Stegostoma tigrinum: one gene and its partner. The protein of the gene in region 2 purifies or fractionates together with the protein of the main gene of each other region. This does not show direct contact. Links are inferred from orthologs where the notes say so. Each region holds a gene or a part of one and is shown on either strand. Other genes may lie near its edges.

Region 1 (7,283 bases), on a different chromosome or scaffold from region 2:
AAATCTTGAATTTTCACGTGCAGTGTCACTGGAAAGCAATAAAAGTTGATTAAAGGTTTTGCACAAAGCACTATCATACTATTTACACAGAAGAATTCAGGAACAAGTCATAAATGAATTTATGTGAGCACATGTTGTTTGGTTATTCTTTGCATAATTGATTCCTCTCAACCCTGGTCTCGAGTTTGCTTTTATTTCTAGAATGCAGGTTACACCACAGAAAAGTAAACAGATCCAAGTTTGATACAAAGTGCAAAGTTCCTATATTTCAAAAGGTCACTTCTTGGCTCTACAGGCACGAAATAACATTTCAACTCATTTTCATCAATTTCATAATATCTACAAACCTTTAAAGGAACAAAATCAGAGTCATCTGCAACCTTCTGAACCCTCACCGAACTGCCCTGTCAAAAATTACCTTTTATTCTGATCTTTTATTTCTTAAAAGAAAATACACCAATATCTCATGTTATACAGAATACTTGAAACATCCTCTCAGTTCACACCGTGGGAGATTCACCAATAATATATAAAAAGCTGTTACATTCCCTCAGTAACGGTTAACAGTTTGTCTTGCATTCATAGTTTTTCTTAGTTTGTGCTTTGATAAGTGCCTCCTCCCCAGACCCTTGATCAATACAGTACACCTCCAGATTTGTGAAATCCCCAACAGTCACACATCATTTTATCCAACGACTCACCAAACACAGAGGTAACAAGAATTGTAGACGCTGGAGTCAGAGTCAATACAGTGCGAAGCTGGAGCAACACAGCAGGTCAGAGGTGCAGGAATGTTGACATTTCAGGTTTACACCCTTCATCAGGGCTGGGGAGGGGGGCAAAAAAACAGAGCTCAGAAATAAACGGGGAGTTGGGTCAGAAGGAAGGAAGGTTGGTGACAGGTGAACACAGGTGGGGGCTGTAGAGATTGGTCAGTTGCAAGAGTAGGGTGGAAGGTAGGAAAGAAGATGAACAGAGTGTGTCAGATTAAGGAGGAAGGGATGGGAGGGAGGGTTAGACTTGGGATGAAGCCGGGGTGGGGGAGATTTTGAAACTGATGAATTTTATGTTCAGGCCGTCAGGCCACGAGCTCCCCAGTCAAAGTATGAGGTGTTGTTCCTCCAATTTGCGTGTGGCGTCATTGTGGCACTGGAGGAGGCCGGCCCAGGATGGACATGTGGCCCAGGGAGTGAGAGGGAAAGTTAAAATGGTTGGCAACCAGAAATTGTTGCTGATTATAGCAGACAGAGCACAGATGCTCTGCAAATCGGTCACCAATTCATCAACTTTACCAACACCTTTCACCCCAACCTCAACTTCACCTAGACTATCTTGGATACTCCTCCCCACTTCCTGGACCTCTCCATCTCCAGTATCTGTCTCAGCACCAACATCTATTTCAAAGCCACTGACTCTCGTAGTCATCTTGCCTACGCCTCCTCTTACCCACCCTCCTACAAGAATGCAATCTCTCACTCCCAATTCCTCCACCTCCACATCATCTGCTCCCAAGATGGAGCATTCTACTCCTAGTCAAACCTTACCCCCTCCGATGATCCAAACTGCCTCAACTGCATCTCCCGCACTTCTGCTCTGAAATCCCCACTCCTCAACAAAAATAAAGACAGAGTCCCCTGGTCCTCATATACCATTCTACCAACCTCTGCATCCAGCAGGTCATTCTCTGCCACCTGCAATCTGACCCCACCAGAGATATTTCCATCTCCACCGCTTCGGCCTTTTGTATGGGCCGCTCACTCCGTGACTTGCTCATCTACTCCACACTCAGCACCTTTCCCTGCAAGTGCTGGAGGTGCAACACCTGCCTCTACAACTCCTCTCTCACCTCTGTCCAAGGCCCAAAACAAACTTTCCATATCCGACAGGGGTTCACCTGTAGCATCCTCCAACCTTCAACACTGTATTCCGTTGCTCCCAATGTGGCCTCCTCTGCATTAGTGAGACTGAGTACAGACTAGGTGACCGATTCACGGTGCGTCTGCACTCTGTACACTATAACCAGCAACACCGTTCTGTTTGCCAACCTAACTTCCCATTAACATGTTCATCCAGGGCCTCCTCCAGTGTCCCAATGGTGCCACACACAAACTGGAGGAACAACATACTCGGCCTCTAATGGCCTGAACACAGAATTCACCAGTTTCATCTCTCCCCACCCCAGGGCCTATTTCCAAGTCCAACCCGCTTCCCCTCTCGTCCCTGCCTCCTGGACATGAGGCAACCTGTCCATCTTATCTCCCATCTATCAGCCCCACCCAACTAACTGACCAATTCTCACCAGTCCCTACCTGCATTCACCTATCACCATCGCACCTACCTTTCCCAGCTCCACCCCTGCTCTCTATTTATTACACAGCTCCCCTCCCAGTCCTGGATGCAGGGTCCCGAACCGAAACGTCGACGTTCCTCACTGCCGAACCGGCTTGATTCCTCCAGGTCTACACTGTATGTTGAATAAAGTGGTCATTTTATCTTCATTTGAAAGTTTTTTAAAAAAGCCAGTTTTCTAAAATATCCGCAACCCATTACGCAGTCGATTAATAAACCTCATATCATTGCTTACCTTTGGGCATCATCTGTATAATTTTAAAAACTGGACTTTGTTCAATTAATTCTTTTGCTCTGAAAAAGTGCATAGCTGGGGCAAATTTACCAGTTTTCATTCCTTCCATTATCTCCTTTGCTTTGATTCTCTTAAGTATACAATTAACCTGCAGTTCTTTTTCAGTCGAGAGGAGATTACCGCCTGTAAATTGGAACTGCTCCAGTTTTATCAAACTAGCTCGGTCGGCCGGAGTTGGAAACGTTTGACACACCGCAAACAAACAAAAGAAAAAGGAAAACACAGCTGCCTCTTTTCTGAAATTTGGTGCCTTCATTTTCAAAAGACCACACGGTTCTGTATAATATTCAAACGTTAGCGAGAACTGACGAGAACACGAAACGTGCAATCAATTATAAACTCAACTTTCGCTTCTGCAAAGATCTTGTACTTCCCTTTAAGGGGACAGCTGAAGTAACTGGACTGTTATTTGATATAGGAAACGCGTGCACCCACGTAAAGAGAAATTGTCACTTGTGTCCTGATGCCCATGACAGAAGGGTGACTTTTTTTAAAAAAAAGCAGTCACATCTCTGCTGATTACTCGGGGGCAAGGATAAGAAGTCGAATACATTTAACGCAATCAAACACCGAAGTAAAGGGACTGGGTGTTTTGGCAGGCGACAGCATTGAAATGGATGGGCGGTGCACGGTGTCACTCGCCCTTTCCCCAGGGAAGGGGGTGGGGGTGGGGATGGGGATGTCTTAGGGGAGTAAGGAAGGTTTTAGCCCGAGCGCGGGCTCCAGAACAACAACAACCGTTTAGAACGCGGAGATTCTGGGAATGGAACGTTGGGTGATCCAACAGAAACGCTCGCGCACTCTACCACTAGTTGCAACCTCCAACTAAACAACAAACGATAAGGCTCTCGACACCAATTCTAAAGTGCAGGAACTTAATATAGCAAGGAAGGAAACTAAAGAATAGCTCGATTATTCAATGGATAGTTTTCTCCCCACCCCAGTCATTCCTTCCCAAAATCCACAGACCAGCCTTATTAAACAAACTCGACGTTAAAACCCCCGGGGTGCGCACAATATATCCAGGCACTTCGCCCCACCTCCCCCATCCCAAAGGACAGCGCGGCTCAGCCCATTGGCTGGTACCCAGGAGACCTCTGCGTCACTTCCTGTTGGTGGCGACGAGCCTTTCTACTTTCTCGCGGGGGTGTCTGAGTTCCGAACGTGGCAGCGACTGCCCAACAAGCCGCCATTCTCCCCGTTGCCTCGGGCTCGGCCCGGCGTTCGCCATTGTGCACAGCAGGGGTGGAGGGCTGTCGGCAGTTTTGGTGAAGGGATGCGCCGGGCGTTGAGCAGTTCAGTGCGTCCTGGTCTCCCTCCGGTGTGTTGAAGGATTGGAGCACTCCCCTGTTGTTGTCCGGCCATCTGTTCCTCGCTGAGAATGGGGCTGCGAGATTGTTCCAGGATTACACACGCACGCCTGCACTGAGAGAGAGAGAGGGGAAGGAAGGAAGGAAGGAAGGAAGGGGAGAGAGAGAGAGAGAGAAGAGGAGAGGAATAGACCGGCAATGGCAGGCAGCGCACACACTTAACACCCAGCACATTCCTTACGCCAACCGGCACTAGGAGACTGGAAACAGAGGGGGTCTGGTGGAGGGGAGGGTGGGGGTGGAAATTTACACAAGGAAGCCAAGTTCGAGGAAAACTATCTCATGTGAGGACAGGGATTTATTTGATGCCATTTAAAATGTCCGAGGAATGTACATCTTCGACCGTTTCGGTAGAAGAAATTCGTTCTTGGTGGGAAGTACCCGCCATCGCACACTTTTGCTCTTTATTCAGGACAGCATTTGGGCTCCCAGACTTCGAAATTGAGGTAATTCTGTTTTTCCCTTCAATGAGTTATGAGACTTTTTTCTTTCCTGTAAATGATTAAGTTGCCTCTCGAAGCCCCTGTCATTTCAAAGAATTCAAAGTTAGTAATCATATGGATACAGGATGTCAATCTCGCCTCCCAGCTGCTGGCTCAATTCTATTGTGGTTCTAAAACGGCTCGATTGCAATCACCGATACACTGATGTGGACTTTAATCATCGTTGTTTACCTTTTGTTGTATAAAACGTTTGTCTTAGTTTTAAAAAGTTTAATAAAGTTGGTATCTCTTGGGCTTGAAAACGGGAGGACATGGTGTGTTCCTTTCGTAAAGGAGCGTGCCTTCCGATAAGGTGCTGCCGTTCTTCATGATCTGCTCTGCCACACATCCATCATAGCCATGGCATTGTTTAGGAGAAAGACGAGCCACATGCTGCTAACAAAGTTAGCTGATTACCCTTTTAAACTACAATTTTTAGTAGAAAAGCCTCCGACGAACAATATATACCCAATAACTTTTAAAATGTATATTTTAACAAAACGGAGTCAATATCAGCGTAGGGGCGTTTCGCAAATTGCTCGATTCATCGGCAAGGCGCAGAGTATTTCGGTCTATTTCGTCACTGTTGATAAAACACAAGTGTAACAAATTAAACTTGCTTAGACGATCTTAAATTCGATTTCTGGCATATAGGTCTTACAAAGAAAACAGCATGTTCGTTAACGTTCTGCAACCCGACTGGGAAACGAAATTCAGAGAATCATTCGATTTCAAGTAAAATTGAACAAACACAATCATTCATCCTGCTCTGTCCGATATCTTCTCTTCTCTTCCCCCCCCCTTTTTTTCCCCCCCATTGTTGTTGTTTTTGTTCGGCGAGTCTATTGTTTAAAGTTGTTTCTCCGGGAGGGAGGGGAGTTGAAAGGCTTAATTCACAACAAACGTTTGCTGTGATTCTGGGAGGAGTTTTTGTTTAAAATCCAAATACGATGACTTTTTTTGTATGTATGAAGTTGCAAGTGAGAAACCAAGTCCCTGACTTGAGTTGGTGTTCAATGTGTTTTAAACGTAGAATATGCATCTTGTGTGAGGCATGTTCTGCAGCTCTGATCAAAATTCTCTCTTGCTATCTTTGTGGGTCTCTAAATGTGTCAACCAACCATCAACTAGACTACGAATGCTCTGTTTATTTTGAAGGATAAGTTTGGTTTTTCCTTCGTTGAAATGCAACAAGTTGTTTATTTCCTCCATAATAGATTTCCAATTTAAAATACCTTGCTGCGTTGTTAGCGATATATGAAAGAGAACATTCTAGAAATTTAACATGTTGGTAGGACGAAGCGCCCACTCCTAAAATGGAGTGACCAGTTCCATTTTACCTTTTAACCTCCCGCTGCCCTTCTCTTTCTGCCACACCCCCCAACCCCCCTCCCCCCCCACCCCCACCGAAATCCATTCACTGGTTTGTTTGATTTCCCGTGCTTGCTGTAAATAGTCTGCCGATCGGTACCTCCGTGACAGACTGTATTCTCGCACTTTTCAAATTGTTTTGCTTGTGGGCCTAGTGAAATTGCTACTTTTATGCGTGTTCATTTTGATTTCACAGTTTGTTTTACAATCATGTTGCTGTCCTTGGTAGCGAAATTTTTTGGTTGAATACATACACTTTGGTTGTAGTTAGTGTGTAGTTTAGATAATCTGAGGTTGACGTTCATTTCATTTCTCACTGTGTTTACAGTGGCTACTTAAAAGTAGCAAATTGTATAACCAGGTAAATCTGTTTGGTTTGGGGTGTGGGAGTTTTTCTCAATGCGTAAACAATCTGGTACTGGTGCTTTACCCCATTGAATGAGTGGCACCAACTGCACATGGAACTCTTATTCCATAAGCCGTTTCTACTCATCATAACTTGCATTTGTACAGCACATGTGGCATTTATCAAGGTAATTTGAATGCTGTTTCTGGCTGGCCTTTATTCTGGCTTTGGAGTAATACCATTGTGAAATCGGATGACACAGTCCTGCAGTGTATGTTGATTGTGATGTAATTCTCGTACATTTAGCAGATGGCTGCATCTTTTTTTAAACCTGCCAGCTACTCGCATTCAGCTGGTCACTGGATGTGCAATTTAGAGACTTCATACCTAGCATGAAGTACATTGTTTGTGAAATAGTTACTTTTGATTCAATAACTCTTGTCACTGGTGGCAGAAATAGTAAATGCATTACTGCGGTTTCAATTCCTGGTTCTCTGCTGAGGTGCCTGACTTGAGTTACAATGAGCTTCACTACTTTAATGATAGTATTTGAATATGTAATGAAAATAGGATCTGGTTTTGGTGTAGCGCTCATGTGCGAATGCCTATTTAGACAAACATCAGATGGTGCGTGGCATTCATTTGAGCTGTCGACCAATATGATTCAGTACCTTCAGGGAAGAATGGGGAAAATAATGAACTATATACCAGAGGTGTAGCTGCAAAAGTAATTTTTTAGCTGTGTAAAACTGTAATCATTAATTTGAAACAAGCCATGAAAATGGAGGTATGTTACAAGTTTGTCTGGTAGTGAAACTCATTGCAGTTGAAGTACTGCAGTTGAAAGACTGAAAAAGATAAATGTGACCCTTTTTTGAATATGTTATTGTTGCTGCTTGTAGAAATATTCCCTGAATTCTTGGTGGCAGCTTTAAGGTAGGATCAGAACATGTACTTGGAGAGTTTGCAATAATTCTCATCCCATTGAAATCGCAGCTTAGTCTGTTGGAAAAATGTGGTTTAAAGAACAGATATATCCTTAGCAAATTTGAATCTTTATAAACTGAAGA
Region 2 (8,019 bases):
GAGAGACTTACAATGTAATGGTAGTTACCCTACGTCTGGGCAAGAAGGTCCAGGTTCAAGTCCCATTTCAGGATGTAATGAAAAAGGTCACAACACATGTAAAATATTTACAGAGACATGATTTGGACTAATAATGAAATGCAATTGCATCAAAATAAGTTAGTCATCACTCAATAGCAAGATTCTGAAGTCAAAGTTTAAAGTTTAAGGGGTAAATCAATCATTCTTTTCTCGAAATCGAGGTTCTCACTTTTTCATTCTCACTACGCTTTCTGGCCATTAGCTGCACCACTCCAGGGAAGGGGTAATTCCATGACTGTTTCATTTTTCATACAGCCAATGAGCTTTGAAAACAACTTTAAAATATTGGGAAAATTAGGAAAACAGGAAATCAAAAATAACTTCATAACAAGTTATTCAACAACAAAAATTTGGCTGCAAGAAGATGCACCTGAAATTTGAACGAAACTACTTCTGAAAGTTTTATGTAGAACAAGCTTGGAAGACCACAGATGTGTCAAAAGTTAAAGAATAAATGTCATGCACCTTGTACATTCTAGATTGCACAGCCCAATGTGATATTATTCACATACCTGCACGTTTGAAGGTTCTTGTTTAACTTCAGGGCCAGCCTGTTCACACAGCTGAGGAAAAACATTAGTGGCGCATTACTTCAATCATTTTGCACAGCAGCTATAAACTTAACTTCTGTGTAGCAAACTATGTTTTACAGATGTGTATTATATCCATTCATAACCATTTATTGTGAGTTTGTGCTTTTGTGTTTTGAGTTAGTAACCAGTAGGTTTTCTGTGTGTCTGAAGTTAATCATTAACTTGCAAGTATTTCAGTAGCCAAGGTAATTTCTCATAAACAGATTTCGGGCCTGGCTTGAGAGCAATTGGGTTTTTGCGCACCACAAATGGATTTTGTACTTATTCATTTTAGATTGGTTTATACACAGCAAGGTAAATAATAGGGTCTCAAGTTTTATTACTGACTTCTGGAACTTGTTTCTTTTAATGTTTAGTCGAAACATCCACAGCTTTGAGAGGGAGGCTGTCATCTTCCGTTTTCCTTTGAGTTGGGCAGTCCTAAGAAGCCCTTGGCCAGCGATGGCTGTATAGACTTAGTGAACCAAGGAAGAGGAAATATGATGTACTAAATTACCTTAGAGTGAAGAATATTAATCCCAGGCTGGAAGGGATGATATAAAACCCTAAAGGCATTATTTAAAACTGTTTCTACTTAAACACAGATTAAGGGGTTTGGTGGAGCAGGGAGTTGAGGTGAGGAAGGAGTTATTGGTCTCCCAGTATTTGAAAGGATTGAGAGAGAGAGAGAGATGCTGTTAAGTTGTATTTTAGTATTCAACAGCATTTTAGGACCTTGAAGAGTGGGCAGATATCATGGGAAGCCAATAAAAATACGTAGAGGTGTTTTAAGACATGATACTATTTGCGGTTTCAGGTACAGCAGGGTCTGTGGAGTGTTTGAGTACTACATATTAATTATAACCACTTGGACTGAACTCATGACATACCATTTTTCCCTTGTGATCATACTATGGGGAGGGAAACGACAGAAAATACTATCAGAGATAATGGGAACTGCAGATGCTGGAGATTCCAAGATAATAAAATGTGAGGCTGGATGAACACAGCAGGCCAAGCAGCATCTCAGGAGCACAAAATACTAGTCAGTTCTGTGGTGTTCATTAAAGTCACTTTTTGCAGCCAACTTTTTCCTTGCATGTACTGCAAAGGGAATAAAGATGGTAGCACTGTAGACCTTGAATGCAATTAACAAGTTTTAACTGTCACATTATTAAGGAAATAATTTATAAGTCTCAGTTGAGATATGCTATGCAGCTCATCAAAATGTCCCTCTAGCAGGCTTATTCTGCCTTCACACCACAGCATGTGAGCAACGTGAACATGACCAATATTTTTGTTTTTGCTAACTCGTTTGGTCTAAGTATATGTCCATTATAAAAGGTTAATCACTGCACTTCAAAATTAGGTCTTGCTTTCCCGGAGAGGTGACAAGGTGCTGTGTATTTGCTACCGTTTTGAGTAAGTTTCTCCTGACGTGATCTAGTTCCGCTGTAATATCTTGTTTTATTTGGTGTAATTCCAGTTATTTATGTTTCTGCACCAACTCAATTTACATATGTCAAGCTCTCTCAGCAGCCTTTTTAAGCATTCCCACACTAAAACGGGGGGGGGGGTTCGAAGTCACTGTTGCAAACCACATTCGCTTTCGGTATTCTTTTTTTAAAAATCGTGTTTATTTTCGCCCTCAGTTGAACCAGTGTCCCTCAGTGCACATTGATACACGCAAGTGGCCAGCGCTGACGTACAGAAAGGAGAGCAAAGGCCTGGACTTCCCAGGCTTTATCCTCCTGTACAGCTTACCCTGACTGGCCAGCGCGCAGCACGCAAACTGAGGCCCGAATACGGACTGAGGCTAAAATATTTATTTATATAATATTCTTTTTTAAAAATAAAAAGCACTTCTCCCCGTGCTTCCGGCAGGACAATAAACAGTCACAGTGCAGTCTCGGCACCCTTGTGTGTTACGTGTGTGTGTGTTTGTTTGTTTTATTAAACAGGAGCCCGCAGCACTTGAACAACTGATTGGCAACAGCGTCCCTCAGGGTGAACGGCGGTGTTTTCCCGCCACCGAACGTTGCTACTCCCCCGGCGTTCCATCGCCAATGGATACAAAGTTGGAAACAATGAGCCGGTACTTTGTTACACACTCACCCCAAGCGTGTCCCCCTGGCCAGAGGTACTGGCCGCCTCCTCCTCCTCCTCCTCACTCATCCTGCCGACACACTCTCTCTCTGCTGTCTGCGTTACAAACAACAACAAACCAAAGCAACCCGGTTTAGGCGTTCGCTTGCACTCAGATTCTCCTCATCGCATTGTTATTGCACTGCTATTGAGAAAGCCAAATGAAAACCTACACCCCCCGCCCGTTCTGTCATTTTCTACAAACATCGCGAGACTTCTCACCATTCCGCCAATCGTTCGGCAGATTCTTGTGCCAGTCTGTGATATAGTTCGAATGGGAATAAGTCTTGCCACTCCTTATTTCACACATGTGCACACCATCAGCTACCAAACACAACCTTCCTCTTTTCCTACGAAGATCAGGGGATAGGCTACTCATTTTACATCGTGAAGTTGGACTAATTGCATCCTAGAGAATGTTCAGTCTCCTAGCTGGTGCATGACTGCAACTCGACCTCTCGGGCAGGATTTGATAATTGGTGCATAGATTAGGAGACTTTTTTTTACGTCTTTGGCTGTACTCCTGATGTGGTAATGAAACAAACCTGGGAGAATGCCTCGGTGCAAGCAACGACATTATTCTCATGATTTTCTGGTATAAAGCCAGTTAACACAGGCTGTATAGATTTCCATAGTCACTATACACCGGCAATCTCGAAACTACGATATAAAGGAGACTTCTTTTTGTTTTGAACGGAATATCTGTGTTTTTATTAGTCGTGCCCTTCTGCAGCAAGTGAACAACATGGTCCACAGTAGTACACTAAGTTTTAAAAAATGCCAAAGCCCACATATTTTGATAATGCTTCCCCAATTGCAAAAGCAATTGTCACAACATTGTTACTTGTCATTAAGCTGATAACTAATCGGCCTTTTGACGAGGGGTGTGGGTAAATTAAAATTCCGATATTATTTATTTGAAGAATCGGATACTCAAACAGATTGGGCTAACTTTTGATGTTACTGGAACTAATATACTAAACCATTCTCGCACAATCTGATGACAGGAAGAAACTCAAACACAATCTCTTAAATAGAAATCATGTATTCATCATAATAACAATGCAAAAATATTGGAGATTTTTCCTTATATGTGCATCAACTATAGACCCCCAAAAGAAGTTGCATGTGCAGTTGGAGAGATTTATGACCAACATTTACGTGCAGTATAATTAATATTTGAATCTTAAAGCTAAAAGATTGTAATTCAAGAACCAATCCATAAGGGTACCAACCTGCTTTGGGGTTTCAACTCACTTGAGAGAAGCTTTGAATTCAACAATTTAAATTATCCTGCCTGGATATATTGAAAATAAATGAATTTACATTGGCACCAAATATTGTGGGTCTGATGATATGGATGTTTATGATATCATCAAAATCCACAAGTTATCCACTGCTTTGTAACTGCTTGCTAGGCTTATGGCAGGCTGAGTCCTGCAGTGATAAATGAGTTAGCTTTACACCCACTTAGTACTGATGCAATCAGTATCATTAACTATTACATGAGTTCTACAACACTACTCGGTATATTGTTTTACTCCACAAGTATTTTTGAACATACACTTTGATTATTTTTTCATATTAGTAGTTAATGGGAGATTTTTAGCTCCCTCAAAGGCTCTTTTCTAGTCCTTGCTATTCTACATTGTTTTTATGATTTAAGGTGAAAGTAACAGTGCTAGAAAATTACTTGATTTTAAAAAACGTATTTACTAAGAAATACTGTCGCTGTTTTTTGACAAATGTCAGATTTTAAATTGAAAAACCAGTGACCAAGATATACAGACATAAATTATGATCAGTAGGCTATTCAGCCACTCAGGCCTGCTCACTATTTAATGTAATCATGGCTTATCTGATTGTGGATTCAGTTCTCCTTTACCGCCTACCCATCAAGGCATAGATTTTCTCCACCAATTTTTCAGAATTTATTTTTAATGGGCATGGGAAATATGTAAGTGGGACATTCTACCAGCTTTCTTCACATTGTTTTTACAGACACTTCATTTTCTACCATTTAAGGGTGATGTATAATAAGTCATTCATTGTAAGTCTATGTAATTGAATAAATATATCTGAAATATTTCAATGACAACTTGCTTTTATATACCATCTATAGCATAGACAAAAGTTCCTAAGCACTTCACAGATGTGAAAAAAAGGGCTGATGTTCCAAAGAAAGGCTGTGGCACAGTGGTTAGCACTGCTGTCTCACAGCACCAGGGATCTGGATTTGATTCTTGGGCGATAACAAAGTGTGAAGCGGGATGAACACATTAGGCCAAGCAGCATCTCAGGAGCACAAAAGCTGACGTTTCAGGCCTAGACCCTTCATCTCTGTGTTCATCCAGCTTCACACTTTGCTTTCTTGGATTCTCTAGCATCTGCAGTTCCCATTATCATTGATTCTTGGGCGATTGTCTGTGTGGAGTCTGCACATTCTCCATGTGTCTGTGTGGGTTTCCCCAGGTGCTTTGGTTTCCTCCCATAGTCCAAAGGTGTGCAGATTGCATGGATTGCCTATGCTAAGTTGCCCATAGGGTCTAGGGTGAGAAATGCAGGGAAAGGCTAGGTGGTGGACCTGCGTGGAATGCTCTTCAGAGGGTCAGTGTGGATGTGATGGGCCAAATGGCCAACTTCCACACTTTATCATTGAATTAAGCAGGCTTAAATTAATGCCTTAAAGAGAATGGATGAGGGTATGTAACATAACTGTGTGTAAAAGAAAAGTTTGTGTGATTGTAAGGGTGGAAATGTTTATTAGAATAATAAGATTTCGGTGAAATGAATTTGAAACATTCTGACATCTGGAGCCAAGGAATGCGTATGGTGAGGTTACTGAAAAAGCAGGACTTAACCTGTGATATGTACAGGTAGCAGAGCTTTGGCTCAACTGAAGTTTATGGGGGCTGGAAGCTGGCCAGGAGAATGTCAAGGTAATTGATCTCAGGTGGATGAATGGCTGGTTTTAGCAGGATATGGGCTGAGAAAGGGATAGACATACGCAATATGAAATTTAGTGGTCTTTCTGATCGGGAAGATATGAGGTTGGAACAGTTTAATTTGGTCCTAGTTAGGTTGCTATGTTAGGATAGAATTGCCGTACAAGGTTTATGGCCAGAGCCAAAAGCATGCATATTGATCTTTCCAATGTTCAGTTTCTCCATCAAGTAGTATAACATCATTGACGTAGTGGTGAGGTTGTGTGAAATGTTTGATATTTGTGTAGCAGTGGTACCCATGGCTATGGGTGATGTCACTGAGGGGCAGCTTGTACAGCAAGGATTAAAGAGGTGTCCTTGGTGTTGCCTAGAGGTGACACTTTATTGGTAATTACAAAAATCACTTCCAGGTATCCTCTGGTGACAAGTAAATGGATAAGAATGGAATCAAGAAAGTGCAGTCCCAGGGAATTGGACACCAGTGAAGTGGTGTTGGAGAATGAGTGTTCATCAAATGCATTGAAGGCTGCACAGGAATCAGTGAGGATAAGGACAGGCAATAACTCATCAGCACAGAAAAGGAGAATATAGGACAATAAAATGTGAGGCTGGATGAACACAGCAGGCCAAGCAGCATCTCAGGAGCACAAAAGCTGACGTTTCGGGCCTAGACCCATCAAAGGATGGAGGTGCGGCTTGGGGTGGGAGGAAGGGATGGGTGAGAGGAAGAACAGGTTAGGGAGGCAGATACAGGTTGGACTGGTTTTGGGATGCAGTGGGTGGAGGGGAAGAGCTGGGCAGGTTGTGTGGTGCAGTGGGGGGAGGGGACGAACTGGGCTGGTTTTGGGATGCGGTGGCGGAAGGGGAGATTTTGAAGCTGGTGAAGTCCACATTAATACCATTGGACTGCAGGGTTCCCAAGCGGAATATGAGTTGCTGTTCCTGCAACCTTCGGGTGGCATCATTGTGGCAGTGCAGGAGGCCCATGATGGACATGTCATCTAAAGAATGGGAGGGAGTCAGTTATAGAAGTTTTGGTGATGCCCAGAAAAGGCTATATAATTGAATGATGGATTGGGGCAGGAGACAGTCCGGAAACATGACCAAAGTTGGCAGCTGGAAAAGGGAGGAATTGAGGCATAATTGTTTTGTGTGTATATGCGTAAAGAAGCTGACTGTTTTATATAAGTTGACAAAGAAACCAGACGGTGGGATATTAGTTTAGTTTCCCTAGTGTGGAAACAGGTCCTTCGGCCCAGCAAGTCCACACCGCCCCTTGCAGCATCCCCCTATAACCACACACCCCTGAACACTACGGGCAATTTAGCATGGCCAATCCACCTAGCCTGCACATCTTTGGACTGTGGGAGGAAACCGGAGTACCCAGAGGAAACCCACGCAGACACGGGGAGAATGTGTAAACTCCACACAGACAGTTGCCCGAAGCGGGAATTGAACCCGGGTCCCTGGTGCTGCAGTGCTAACCACTGTGCCACTGTGCTGCCCTGTTGGTTCGTTCACTGAGCTGCCTGGTTTTCATGCAAACGTTTTGTCTCCTTTCTAAGTGACACCTTCAGTGCTGTCTCGCCTTCCTTGAAGCACTGTTCTGTTCTGCTCTGAATTTATATGGTCCGGTCTGTCTTGGTGGATAGTCGCTTCCAGTTTTGTACCTAAGTGGTACGTAGATGGGATCAATTTCAACATGTTTGCTTATTGCACCAGTGGTTGAAAACCAGACCTCCAGGAATTATAGTGCTTGTTTGTCTTTATCTTGCTTGTCCTATTACTGTGACTTTGTCCCAGTCAAATTCAAGTCCTTTTATGTCAGAGTGTAGTCAAACGAGGGGAGAGTTTGTTGTGTTGTTTTGCTGTGAGTTCGTGTTCATTTTTCTCACAGTTGCTGCATGGTATTTTATGTATCACATTTGTCCTGCTCATTGTGGTTGTGTCTGTGAGTAACTGGCAAATACCCAAGCTACAGATCTCTGTTAAAACATTAAAGGTTAGGGTATGTTATAATGGGAATAAAAAATCTCTGAAAGAACTGCGCATGCTAAAAATCAGAAACAAAAACTGAAATTATTGGAAAAGCTCAGCAGATCTGGCAGAATCTGTGGAAAGAAATTGGAGTTAACGTTTTGGGTCCAGTGACTCTTCCTCAGAACACAGAATCATGCTTATGTTACAAAGGGCTCTTCTTGGATAAGAAGGGGTGGGCTCTGTGACATAATAGCAACACCTCTGACTCTACCTGGGTCTTTAGGGTGGGGGAGACT

What was found.
Region 1: the proteins of smarca1 (region 2) and chromatin remodeling regulator CECR2-like purify together in Homo sapiens (affinity purification with mass spectrometry; 3 studies listed by BioGRID and IntAct, with this or other methods). This does not show direct contact. The link is inferred for Stegostoma tigrinum from reciprocal best matches to the Homo sapiens genes SMARCA1 and CECR2.

Annotation. Positions count from the first base shown.
Region 1 is NC_081371.1:27,549,062-27,556,344, forward strand, and holds the start of chromatin remodeling regulator CECR2-like, read left to right. Parts: upstream 1-4,269; 5' UTR 4,270-4,319; coding exon 4,320-4,460; intron 4,461-7,283. Other genes in the region: adenosine deaminase 2-like, read right to left, coding at 2,585-2,900. UniProt on the Homo sapiens protein: Regulatory subunit of the ATP-dependent CERF-1 and CERF-5 ISWI chromatin remodeling complexes, which form ordered nucleosome arrays on chromatin and facilitate access to DNA during DNA-templated processes such as DNA replication, transcription, and repair.
Region 2 is NC_081368.1:32,753,606-32,761,624, forward strand, and holds the start of smarca1 (probable global transcription activator SNF2L1), read right to left. Parts: upstream 3,010-8,019; 5' UTR 2,829-3,009; coding exon 2,769-2,828; intron 645-2,768; coding exon 594-644; intron 1-593.